3 linked regions of the Drosophila melanogaster genome follow. The protein of the gene in region 3 interacts with the protein of the main gene of each other region in a pairwise test. Each region holds a gene or a part of one and is shown on either strand. Other genes may lie near its edges. The genes, in order: CG43996, CG8065 and CG17778.

What was found.
Region 1: the proteins of CG17778 (region 3) and CG43996 interact in a two-hybrid assay, tested with the Drosophila melanogaster proteins (one large-scale study listed by BioGRID).
Region 2: the proteins of CG17778 (region 3) and CG8065 interact in a two-hybrid assay, tested with the Drosophila melanogaster proteins (one large-scale study listed by BioGRID).

What each region holds. Positions count from the first base shown.
Region 1 is NC_004354.4:17,020,694-17,023,870, reverse strand, and holds CG43996 (uncharacterized protein), read right to left. Parts: upstream 1,568-3,177; 5' UTR 1,548-1,567; coding exon 564-1,547; 3' UTR 501-563; downstream 1-500. Other genes in the region: CG43997 (uncharacterized protein), read right to left, coding at 1-345.
Region 2 is NT_037436.4:10,213,349-10,218,023, forward strand, and holds CG8065 (uncharacterized protein), read left to right. Parts: upstream 1-2,316; 5' UTR 2,317-2,363; coding exon 2,364-2,951; intron 2,952-3,011; coding exon 3,012-3,326; 3' UTR 3,327-3,632; downstream 3,633-4,675.
Region 3 is NC_004354.4:492,064-497,415, forward strand, and holds CG17778 (uncharacterized protein), read left to right. Parts: upstream 1-2,550; 5' UTR 2,551-2,653; intron 2,654-2,714; 5' UTR 2,715-3,006; coding exon 3,007-3,054; intron 3,055-3,405; coding exon 3,406-3,741; 3' UTR 3,742-4,306; downstream 4,307-5,352. Other genes in the region: CG17896 (uncharacterized protein), read right to left, coding at 1-565, 1,325-1,354.

The sequences.
Region 1 (3,177 bases), about 17 Mb from region 3:
CAGCTGCATTTCCTCCTTTCCCTCCTTGACCAACATGGCCCACGAATCGGGAAACTTGTGGTGCGACTTGCGCTGTGAACGTGCCATATTCTTGCCCATGCGGTAATCTGGGTTCAAATCCAAGTCACTGGTGTCCAGTACCTCGTCCATGGCGTCCACATCTTGGCCTTTGCGACAGTTCGACTGGACCTCATAGTCCTGGTCCGTCATCTTTTCAAACATGTCCGATTCATCATCGTAGTCGTAGAAGGTCGGTTTCTTTGGTGGACGTCGTCCGTCCACTTGACAGCGCCCGAAAATCACAATGGAAATGTAGATTATCACCAGTAAAGCGACGGAAGTCATTTTCGATAAGTTGTCGGAGTGCTGACTATAGTCGGAATGAGTAAAAGCGGCTGAAACATTTGGCAGAAGAAGGGCTGGCGTACTTGGATTACACATTTCATATAGTATTAATATATTTTTTAAAAGTTGTGAACATATTTAAAGCAAGAGTACATACAAATGGTTTTATTCTTTATTGTAGGGTCTCTTTAAGTATTAATATTCATACAATATTTATTTTATAAATCCGGAGTTATCATTCTCATCACATTTCGCTCGATCTCATCCCGACTGTCCATGAGGCGACGCAATTTAGCATCGTAATCCTCGTATCGTTCTTGATTTTTTTCATCCGGCTGTAATTGCGATGAAGCCTGAAACTCCTCTGATGTTTCCGGTGAGGTCATCCAATATCTCGACTTTGATCCCGTGATGTCCTGGCCGCTGTTCAAAGTGGTTTGCAGCTGGACAGGACCATGGAAGAGTTGCAATAGAGGCGGAACCATCACTCGACGATCCTCAGTAAAAGCTTGTGGCTGGACCTCTTTGTTATCCACACTGTCCTCGAAATGGCAGTTGTCATCAGCACACAGCTCGGTTGCCTCATAGAAATCCGGCTTCTTGGACCATTTCAGACTAGGATGTTCCGTAGGCGTAGTGCCTTGGTTGTTGTTTCTGCATATGTTGTCATTTTTCGCTTTTGACAAGCGGGATTGAAGGATCTGCAGATTATCGGTTATGGCTTTGGTGTGCTTGTGCAGAGATCCCAACAAACAGTTAATTCTCGAAACAAAAGCTTCATCCTCAAAACTAATGTCGTCGTCCTCCTCTTCATAAGCCTCATCATCGCCATTGTCTTCATCACCATCATGGATATCATCGTCATCACTATTGCCCGCAGGATCGGCATTCTCGTCATCGTCCTCGTCCTTGACCATCTTCCTGTCAACCTTGCAGCGATCCTTCTTTTCATACTTCACATCATTCGGATTTTCGGCGGGACATATGCCCGATTGCGAGTCCATGTCGGTATTGACCTTCCACTGATCCCGATCTCGATCGAAATCGTCCTCCATGGCACCGCTTCGTTGCTTCTTTGGCTTTTCAAATATGGAGTTAAAGCCATCAAATGTGTCACCATCGTCAATATACTGTATCAGTTGAGTCAATTGAGTGTGTAGCAAAAGGATAAATATAATGATTATTTTAGTTAACCAGGCCATTTTATTTTGTTAGAGCGTAGCAAATGACATTTAATGCTTTTCGAAACATTTAAACATCAAACGATGATTCCTTGAATTTTAATTGTTTGCTTTTGATTCTCATAAACATTTTCGCTCAACCTCCGGAATGGAAATCTTACAAAACCAATGGATTCCTGTGGCTTTCCTTCCGGTATGTCATCGGTTTGCATTCCTGCGGCTTCTGGCGGCTTCATCTCCTGATGCTTTTCTCCAGCTTTTCCCTGATTTTCCCGCAGTTTCCTGCTGCCACTGACGTCAAGGATGCGGCACTGAAATGTTCACTTATTGCGGTTTTTGTTTCCATTCTTTTACCCCGCCTGTTGTTTACAACCTGCGCACGATTGCCCCAAAGGTGCGACCATGGGCGGGTTGGCATTGGGGGTTGGGAAATGTGGGTGGTGGTGGGTTGTGGATAAAAGGGGGGGGGGGGGTGGCGTCTAACGAATTCATCAGCGCTCACAAAAGATGAAGAAAAATGGTAAACTGAGGCCAAAAGATGGCCACGAGCGAAACACCTACGCAAGCGGAAGGGAAGTCACTCACCATCTCCCACAAAAAACCCCTACACCACGACATGCACTGGAAAAAATGAGGAAGGAAATACAAAAACTTATTTTGAGATTTTGAGATGGTTTATTATAAAAGTTTTTGATTGTCCTCATTCATTCAATCCTATATACTATAGGAAAACATGCATATTTTCTCAGATCTTGAAATGTTGGACAATTTTTTCTTAGTGCATAATCACACCATGCTGAGCGTCACCCTTGCGGAAGTTGCTAAAGGATGGAAAGGATGCCGGTGAGGATGGAAATAGAAATAGAAACGCAGCACAAGTGCTACAGACAAGTCCGATGATGAAGACGATGATGGTGCAGGTGATCCAGGTGCCTCAGGTGGGAGTGGGGATAGTTACGACTTATATGCATCACCGGAGGACGATGGGCGGGGCATGATGAGTACCGCTCTTGGAAAATGCATTTTCAGTGTCGCTTTCCTGCCGTGGGTGCAACAAGCTGTCCCATGAAAATGTCTTTATGCCCGAGCAAAATTGGAAAACATGCGTGCACTGAGGGAAATTCATCGATCGAACTTTTTATGGAAACTACAATTGCGATTAAGGCATCTTAAGTTTTGTTCAATTTGTTATATTACTGTATTTCATAAAAGGTTTTAACTACACCTTTTTCGTTAAGGCCTAAGATTATTAACATTTTACAATAAAAGCTCGTTATTTTACTATTTCTCTAGGTGTAGAGGTATGCTTAAACAGGTTTGCCCCTCAGTTATCATGTCCTCTTAGAGATTTGATTTAATTCCGCCGGCCCACTCTAGCATTTTGTAATTGCTCGACCAGGCGACTTCCCTGCAATTTGCAATTAAACTGCTGCAGTTGATGGCAGTCGTCGTTGGGGAGTCGATTCCATTTCCACAGGATATACAGCGAGCAGGAAAACGCACATCTGTGCGGGAAAAAGTTGGCCAGAGGGAGCTTTTTAGTTCAGTGACATTTAAACTTTAATTTAAAGTGGCAAGCCCTTTTACTCGCAATGGCAATTAGCAGTGAAAGGAGGGGAGAACTAAATGAGCTATTTCTAATTATGTGTTT
Region 2 (4,675 bases), on a different chromosome or scaffold from region 3:
TCTGTTTTACAATTTCCAGGTTATAGAAACACCGATTTTTTACCTAAAAGAAAACTGTCACATTGGCATTCCCGAAAAGTGGATTCCATCGCACTGAGCCTGTCACCCGACGAGGCGTAGATGAAATGACAACCTGGGCGGACAATATGTCCAGGAGTCATTAAAAAGTTGCCACAATCCCCGCGGTGAGGGTAAAATTAAGCGAGCCATTTGAATGGCAGCCATGGCGACAACGTCGAGAGCATAAGACTTGGACGGTCATCAAAGTAAAGTGTTTTCCAACTTTTCTTTCCTCCGATTTTTCTCTGGGTATAGCTACTGCTGGTTTTCCCTGAATTTCCCTTTTCTTTTTTGTATTGTTCTGAAACTTTGAGCAGCTGCTCCTGCGGCGCTTGTTATTGTTGTTATTTACTATTAAAGTTGGCAGGATCGTAAACAGCTTGCGGCCAAAAAGGGGAATTGCGGATTTGTGTAGTTACCCCTTTGAAACGACCCTGGTGATTGGTGATTGGTGATTGGCAATTGGCTATTGGCTTTGCCATCTGCAGTTTCGCAATTTCCGGCTTAATGTGGTATTAGTTTTATTACCAATTAAAGTTATTCAATTGCCGCGCAAAAGTTAAAAGGCTGCACTAATTTCATTTCCACCAGAAAACCCCACAAGCCCAGTAAATACGCAATGGACGGACATATCTATTTTATGCTGCCGTTTATTGTTTGGCCCAGAGATACCAAATACGACAACAACTGCTGCTGGTTTTGGGCTTTGCATGTTTAATTCATCTAATCAACATTAAGCCATGTTTTGGCAGAGAATGTGGTAGGCATTGTGCCCGCCCACCACCAGTGTCCCCTCTATTCCATTGTATTCGTGGTTCAACCGCTGTTCGTCGCCCCAAAAAGGATACAAAATTCAGTTGCAGATACATCTGTGTTGTTGCTGCTGCCGCTGTCACATTTACATAATTTCATTTGCAACACATTCTGGGCATTTCGGCACCCCCCCTCCCCCTTTCCGACCCGCGACTCATGTTTTCGGCTGGCGGCAAATTATTACACGCTTTTATTAACAAAAATTATGCTCGACTGTTGATTTGCAGCGTCATCGGAGTGGTCGTAGTTCTCTTTCCTTGTTGGCCCCTGAGTACGCATGAATATTCATCACTTAATATATGGGGTCCTATAAATAGATGCATTCTGGCAGCAGGATGCTGTAGGCAGTCACAGGATCAAGGAGCAACGGCCGCAGGCTCTTTTATTAATTAAGTTCCGATTTTTTCCTCCTTTTTTGCTTCGGTTGCAAGAGCAAAGTACGCAGTCGATGGACAGTGGCGCGAAAAAATATGAATTAAGGGGTTCATAATTAGATTCATTAATATGGATTTTGGTTTCATCAATGCTTGCAATTTAATTGACTTTATTTTAATTGATTTGGTAATCAAATAAGTAAAATACAGTTATACACTAGCTAAAGTAAATATGTTAATATTTAGATCTCATTTTAGATGACTATTATTTACAAATGATTTATCTAGCTAACATATTTAAATCCATATTATTATGAAATTGAGGGTTTAATAACATCTGGTTAATAAAATCCAACCCCCCTTTCTGATTTTGCCCCTGATCAAAAAGCAGAATACCAATGATGACGACGGCGATGACAGCGATACACGAGCCACTCAATCTTGTTGAGTAAGCGCCACTAATTTGTTTTTAAGGTCAGCATGGTCACTCCACCCACATTTCCGCCCACATTTACCCTCACCTGCCGCTACCACTTTGCATACTTTATTGACCGCATGGAGAGAATTTGTGTGTGTGTGTGTGTGTGTGCCTGGAGTCTTACCACAAATACGCTTTTAAGAGGCATTTCCAGGACGAAGGCAGCTGAGACCCACTGCAGCATCAGCTTCTTGCAATTTGGCTATTAAAAATCATTAGCAGCAGGGAATTTCAGCCCCTTTTGGCCAAATTTCAGGTGTGTGCCCTTTTCCGAAGTAGAAGAATCTCTACTGCATGCAACATTGTGCGAGCTACATACTTTGTGGCACTCTGGCCAGGCATTTTCATTAAAACGCTGAAGGCATAAATACCAAAACTGGAAACAATGATCTTAACATCCTGGTAATAAGTAATTTTATTAGGTAAATAAATTAAGAATTTAAAGAACCGTTAAAACGTAAAACTTTATGGAAGGTATTCTTTACTTTCTTAGTTTCATTCATATGCAACACACAAAGTTTATTGAATAAAAAAAATTCAAAAGTAATATAGCATATTTTTATCAGAGCACTCCATGACTTAGTACACATTCACACTACACAGAACATATATTAGTAAGCTAAAAAAAAATTAAAAATATGGACTGCAAGGCTCCTGGACTGCTAGAAACTCCTAGTGAATCTGAACTGACCCACTGCAGCATCTCCGCTCTAGATAACATACCAATTCAAGAAGAGGAGTGTCCATCGGAGTTGGAACTTTCAAAGACTTTCGATAAGCTGGAAAGGATGAGAGAACGTGTGCTATATTTGAAGAGCCTCCTAATTCATCCAGTACAAGTAAACAAAGTCGAATGTCCTCCAGAAAGTGACCAGATGAGACTGGACATCGAGCAGTCTAGCTCGGACAACGACGAACTGAGAGTAGTACAACAGGACACAGTACGAGCTTTACAGCAGATCATCGACGTAAATCGCCAACTCAAGGAGACAACTGACTCTCTGACTGGACTGGACGAAAAGGCACGGAAAAACATCCGATGCATCAGAAAGTTGTCCAAGAGGCTGCTCGAAGTGCCCAAGTGGAAGGAGGAACTGAAGCACAACACGGGATTGTGTTTGGAGCGATATAATGACCTGGACATTTCCCGAGGAAACTACCTCGACTACAGTGACAACTTCGTCCGACCCATCCAAACCAACATGAAGTTCTGTTTCGCATCAAAGGTATTGGCAACTCTCTAAGCATACTATTTATAAATACTAATTCTATCATCCAACCTCAAGGCCCCTCTTATATGCAATAAGCAGGATTATAATGACTTGGTAAGCGCTCTGAGTAAATCCCGGAAAACGCTACTGAAATGCCACGGGGAGCTATTGAAGTACACCCAGAAGGTGGACGAAGCGCTGACATTGAAGAACTTTGATACCATGGAACTTCCATCTATATCGGAGCTATCGTTGCTGCTGGACAAGAGCACCCAGGTGACCAAGCGCAGGAGCTCAATTGAAAAGGAGCGAAGATCCTTCAAGTTCGCCTGGGCTGCTCCTTTGGCGAAGCAGGAAAAATACACCCCCGCTGTCGATATTTCCGATTGAGATAATTAAAAATGCAGTCAACCACAAAAACGCCAATATTGTAATTTAAACGGGCATCCTAGTTTCGCATTTTACGGGTGCAAAAATGCGCATAATGAATACGCACACGGACATGCGGCATAAAACACACAATGATCGGGCTAATTGTGCAAAAATGTTTTTGCAAATATTTTGTTAACAAATTTTGCGGCATTTTAAGCCACAGAAATGCAATTAGCCGTGAACGTAATTAACCGACAAAATTTTAGTGTGCAGTGGCCACTTCAACTGAAATGCAAAAATAAAAATGGGAAAACCACCAAATGCATGGGCACCAAATTTGAATTAGAATTTGAATTCATTTTACGAGAGTATTGAGCTGTCGAAAGGGGTTCCGATCTGATGAAATTGATGGCCAGAATGTCTTTGACACCTTAGCGGAGCTTCATTTTTCGTTTGACAAGGGTTCAGAACTCGGTAGACCTGGGAATTTCCCCAAAGAACGGGAGCAACAAGTTTGTCATGAACGAAACTCCTTCCGGGCCGAAAATTTCAGCCATCAAATTGGGCAAACAACAGCCCGAGCAAAGTTTGTGGCCAAATTAATTGAACGGACCGTGTCCACAGGACTCGCAAGGAAATGCTTTCCGCACGAAAGTCTTCTGCCCATGGAGCCCTTACCTTTCACCTTTGACATGACACTTAATTCATCGAGCGAATGTGAAGCCGAAAATTTAATTTAATTAGTGGCCTCCCCAAGTGTTGAAGGTGCTTGGAGGCCTCGTTGGAGTAAAACTTTTATGGCAGCTGTTGAGCAAGGATACGCCGTGTTACGCCCTTTATTCCCGATATTGCGCATTGGCTGCACATGTCCTGGTTGCCAACTTCTCGGGTCCATTGTTCTTTTGTTGCCCGTTTGAATACCTGGAATACTTGTGCGCCACTTGCTCAAACCTCTGACCCTGCAGCCTTCTCATATAGTTGGGCTCATAGTCAAATGAACGCAGTTAGGGAGTTCGAGACCACGGAAACTTGCTCTGTTCTAAAAGGGAAAGCTCAGACATTCATAACTCCCTTGTCATCTTCATATAGTCTTAGGTTTCATTCAACTGCGTGCCCAACCATTATACCATTTAGCAGCACAGTCCATCGATCACCCAGTCAACTCATTGCGGCCAGCATAAAAGTTTATCTGCAAACAAATTGGAAATTTTAATAAAAATTCTTGCGCTAAATTACGCTTAACAATCAAATCCCCACCTTGGACTCTTTGGAATTCCCAATCGCAATCCGAATCCCCCGTCATTGTCATTGTCCAACTGTTCGCTTAAGTGGTGTTAAGTATTTGAAAATCTCGGCATCGGTTTTCC
Region 3 (5,352 bases):
GTTCCGATGGCTTCAGCAGCATAGTGTTACCGGTGGTGATGGCCACCGGGAACATCCACAGCGGTATCATGGCCGGGAAATTGAACGGCGCAACGCCAGCGGTTACTCCGAGGGGCAGCACTAGTGAGTACGTATCCATGTCCCTGGCCACGTTGGCTACGGTTTCGCCCATCTGCAGAGATGGGATGCTGCAGCAATGTTCCACCACCTGAAGGCCGCGGAGCACGTCGCCCTCTGCGTCGGCCAAGGTTTTGCCCTGCTCCTTGGTAATGTTCTTGGCCAGCTCACCCATGTTCTCCTTGATGAGAGCCTGCAGCTTGAACATCACCTGCTGGCGGGTGAGGATCGACTGGTTGCTCCACGAGCGAAAAGCCTTCTTGTTCGACTCAAGGGCCGCCTGCATCTCCGCCTGTGTGGCCTTGGGCACGCGGGTGACCACTTGGTTGGTGGCCGGATCGTGCACGTCAATCCATTCGTTCGTCTTCGACTCAACGAACTTGCCGTCGATGAAGAGCTTGGTTGTGGGAGCGGCTGAAGAGTAGGACCTCTTTGCCAGATGGCGGGCCTGGTGATAAAGGAGGGACAAGAGTTGGTAAACAGCCAGTACAAAAGGTATGAACTCCGATCGCTAAGCGTACTTTATTTTCCCACTTCCACGTATACTAAACCAAAAATTTACCATTTAGTCCACCTTTCATTTGCTTTGCAAATTGCCCAGTGCTCGCAATCCTAACCTCAACGGCCGGACAAATCCGTTTAATGTGGGGTGAGGTCTATTTTTTTGGGTGTTGATAACTTGAGTGGTAGGCGCGCGGGGGGCAGCCGCCCACGCTTATCAGTGTCCATCTGGCAAATTCGAGATTTTCATGGCGCGCCTGTCGTGGAAAGGTACCGCTTATCGCGTTTTATTGGATTTAACGTCAACTCAAACATTGTACCGCTAAATTCCCCGCGAATTCGCCTTGTGCGCTTTATCTGCTTAATATTCTGGTTCTAGTTCTACTTCTTCCGCTTCGCAGCGACGTATTGCGTAACATGTGTTGTTTTCAACTGCCCGTTCGCCGCTCACACCCGTGGGCCATTCCAATCACTAGAGTGGGTGGAGTGTGAGATGGGCGCCGAAAGTGCATACATTACATGCCCAAGGCCAATCGCATCGCCAATTACCGAATTCACGGCCACACCAGTGTCAGAGAGAACGAGAGAGAGCGCCAAAACGATCCAAATGCTGATGGATGGATGCACGTATGTATGTATGTCAGGGTGAGGATGGCAGCCTAGCATGCCTATAGGACATACACCCACCCACCAATTGGAAACTCACCTCTGCTCCGATCAATCGCACTAGGGACATCTTGGGGATACGGAGATGAGAATTTGGTGCGGGGATCGGATCGCGTGCTCTCCGAACGGTGGCTACACTGAAACTGAACGCAGCGCAGCCGCCCATTTCTGATGCCAGTTATTCTCCACTGTTCTCTACACATATACATGAATGGAAATATATATGTACATATATCTGTATAGGTTTGAGGTAATGTATGGTGGTGTGGTGTGGTATTGGCATGGTGTGGCGATTGTTGATATACGAAGGCGAAGGCGAAGACCACGTCAAAAAGTGCTTTACATTAGCAAGTGGTTATAGTTTGATGCTCACACACACGTGTACACGCACATATGTATGTAACTTGCTACCGCACACACCGTTAGGAACCGGGGGCACAGCTGTTGTTTTTGTGTTGCTCTGTTTTCGCAATTGTTGCTGTTGCTGTTTTTTGGGGGCTCGTTGTGAGTATGTGTGTGTGAGTGTAGTGCTTGCTTTGCGGTGTTTGCGTTCTTGTCAATTCCCTGCTGGAAGGGAATGTTAGCTATGGTGACGGCAGTGTAGTATTGTAGTACCCAAATGCATACTCTATGGTTAATCAATTTTATGGTAATCAAGCCAGTTTATGTGTTCCAGTTAGATTGTAACAACTTTTTAAGTGTACAACAGTGGAAGTGTATTGGATCTTCGATGCTAGACATGCTGAACTGGCTTAGGGTATTTATAAACACCGGCGGATCCAATGTAGTATATTTGTGTTTTTCCATCAACGTATGTACATATGTACATATGTACGTATGGACACATGTACATATGAACTTAAACGAAATGTAATCAAATATTAATACTAGTGCTTAACCGAGGATGGAAAAAATAATCAATTAGGTGATAAGTGCTTCCTAGCTGAACAGATAAATCCTAAAAATGTTTCCTGGAACGCAGTGTGGACAGAAGCAGGCTGGCGCATTTTTCACTTTCTGAATGAAAATTTGTCTGCCTGCTTTTAGGCTTTTGGTCTATTAAAATAGCAAGTTCGCTTTCATCATCGGGCAGGGTAAGCTTTTGCTAGCAGCCCCGCTTCCTGGTCAACATAATCAAAAGGACTAGCCTGCACCGGGAAAACAAAATCCATGGAAATAGATGCAACACAAATGAAAGGCTTTCTCTTTTTTAAAGAAAGTGGTTTGCTTTGTCTCTCAATGGGACAATAGTAGCTCCTTTCTGCTCTTCAGTGATGCCCACCGGTAGTTGAATCAAGGAATTACAAAAAAAAAGTTCTGTCATTTGAAATCCATAACGTTTACAAAAAATCCATTGGCTTCGAAAAGTGTAAGCATATACTAAAAAGAATTCGATTAAATATAGCATATTTTTATACGTTGTTTTTAAGCAAGCTAAAGAAGTACCAGCACTGCCACTCGCTCTTTCTCTCGCTCCCTCTCTTGCTGCGGAATGCGGAAGTCAACTTGTGTGCAGGAGCATATAAATAGTGGGACCAATCGCAGGACTCGCTCACTCTGCTCGGAGAGCTTGGACTGGACTGTCAGCGCTCCGGACGACGCGCCTTAAGTTAGGCAAAAACAATTTTGTTATTTGCCGCAGTATGGACTTGCTGCGCTGACTTACTACTTACTGTCATGCCAAGAGGCTGAGGTCGAGAGGCAGCTTGGGATCTGGAAAAGATGGAGGCCACGCCGGGCTACCAGGACATCAGCGCTCTGGAAAAATCGGTGAGCTTATCGACCAGGCAAACAGAAATAGCCACTTATTCATTCAGAAGTATAGGCACTCAGAGTGTAGTGAGAGAAATTAGGGACACTCCATGGCGGTCTATTACAATCATAAGCCACATTGTCAGTTGGTGCCGAAATATGAGTATTTAAGATCTTTGTCCAAAGTACCTAAATGTAGACTGTTAATCCAAGTTTATCGAACTTAATTTAAGATGTTGTTATCAGGATTTGATCATAAGTTCTCCTGGGAATATCTTTTCAATGCTTCCCTAAGCTGAAGAGAGAACGGAAGCGGCCAAAATTCAATTACTTAATCCATAGGTAACCTACATTTCCCTCTGCTTCAAGGTGGCCAATGCAGGATCGCAGCTGTACACGATGGCCCACAAACTGCACGCGGTGGAGCGCAGCCTCGAACAGACGACGATGGAGCAGATGGACGAGATGGAGGTCCTCGAGTTGCTCGAGTCGATGAGCGAGGTGACCAACGAGTACCAGAATCTGCGCAAGGACATTCGCGAGGTGCAGCAGTTGCAGCGTGACGTCAGCAGCTCCATACGGTACCAAATGCGCAGCATGCAGCAGACTTTTCACACTCTAAAACAGCGGATAGCTAGCTCCCAGAAGGGTCGCAAAAAGCCCGAGAAAGGGCTCGATGGAGCAGGGGTTGGTATTCATGAATAATCAATGACCCTATTGATTGGCCTCCCTGGCGAATAGGTGCGGTAAATGTGTCAATGGGGACGCAAATGTAGGGACTAAATTGGCACCAATCTGAAGCAATCAACTGTGTAACTATATATCGCAAGCCCACTCCAAGCATTTAGACTCGGAAAAAAATCCTATACTTTATATACATGTATACACATTAAGAAAACCACACCCATTGTATGCGAATTAAGGTTTTTTTTTGGTGTTTTATTCCAGTGATAGGCAGGAATAACGAAAACTCACTGCTCTAAGAACACAAAAACACAATGCTTAACACAGAGTAAACAACATTTACGATGATATGCGTTCTTTAGGACGAACCGGAATGTCTGAATGCACTTTTCCAAATTTTGCCTTAACATAATAGTATTTTGAGGTAGTTTTTGATACGACACGTTTTAAAAGATAATATATAACAGACCGTACATATTTAGGCCACACACAATGGTTATTCTTGTGTTAGTTTCATTTTTGGAGATTTATTTGTTGAGCTCTAGAGAAAATAAAAGTTAGTTAAACCTCGGGAGACGAGGAACGCATATATTTAAATCTGGCGCCATCCGGTTGTCAACAACAACCTTCTGGCAACTCCTCTAAGTCGCATCTGGCAATGTCATCTGATCGCAGCCGAGTGGCAACAGTGGTCGCTGCTGCGTTCGCGTACTTTCGTGACTTCATTTGCGATTTTATTTATATTCTCCGTGTTGCGAATAAAATGTATGTATCATGGCAGTTGTTTAAGAAGCGAATATACGCTGATTCATCCTAGGCTGGCGAGAAGATCATTGCGAAAAAAGTGTACGAAAAGAAAGTGCAATAACTGCAGCTCTATTGTGCGCGCATCTGGGTGTGCGTAGATCTTTGCATCGGTGTGTCGGTGTTTTTTTACGTTTGTGTGCGTGGCGTGCCCACATTTGTGGCACAAGTTTAAAAATTGGCACTAAGAAAGTTCAAGAAAGTGGTTCTGGGGAAAATAGTTCATTCATTCAGCATCCACTTTCTGTTGAAAGTGGCGCGCCTGCGTTTTGTGTCTTAATCATCGCATTGCTGCCTGCCTACGTGTACAGAAACTGCGAGCGCTCCGGGAGAGTCCCCGAGAATCCCCAAAATGTTGTTTTTCTGCCTAGCCTTGATCATCGGCTGCGCAGTCGGAGAATACAGCGAAGTCCGGGTCATCCAGGAAGAGGACAACTTCCTGGAGAGTCCTCACTACCTAAAAAACGAGGAAATAGGAGATCTTTTCAGCCAGCTAGCCAAGGATTACCCCGACTTGGCGCAGACCTATACAATAGGCAAATCCCTGGAGGATCGACCCATCTACGCCCTAGCCTTAAGTGCACCTACCGGGGAGTCCAAGAATGGAGATCTCCTAAGGCCAATGGTTAAACTGGTGGCCAACATACAAGGCGATGAAGCCGTGGGTCGTCAGATGGTTCTCTATATGGCCGAATACCTGGCCACCCACTACGATGGGGACCCGAAGGTCCAGGCGCTACTAAATCTCACCGAAATCCACTTCCTGCCCACCTGTAACCCCGATGGATTCGCCAAAGCCAAGGTGAGTCACCTCCTGTTTCTAGCTTA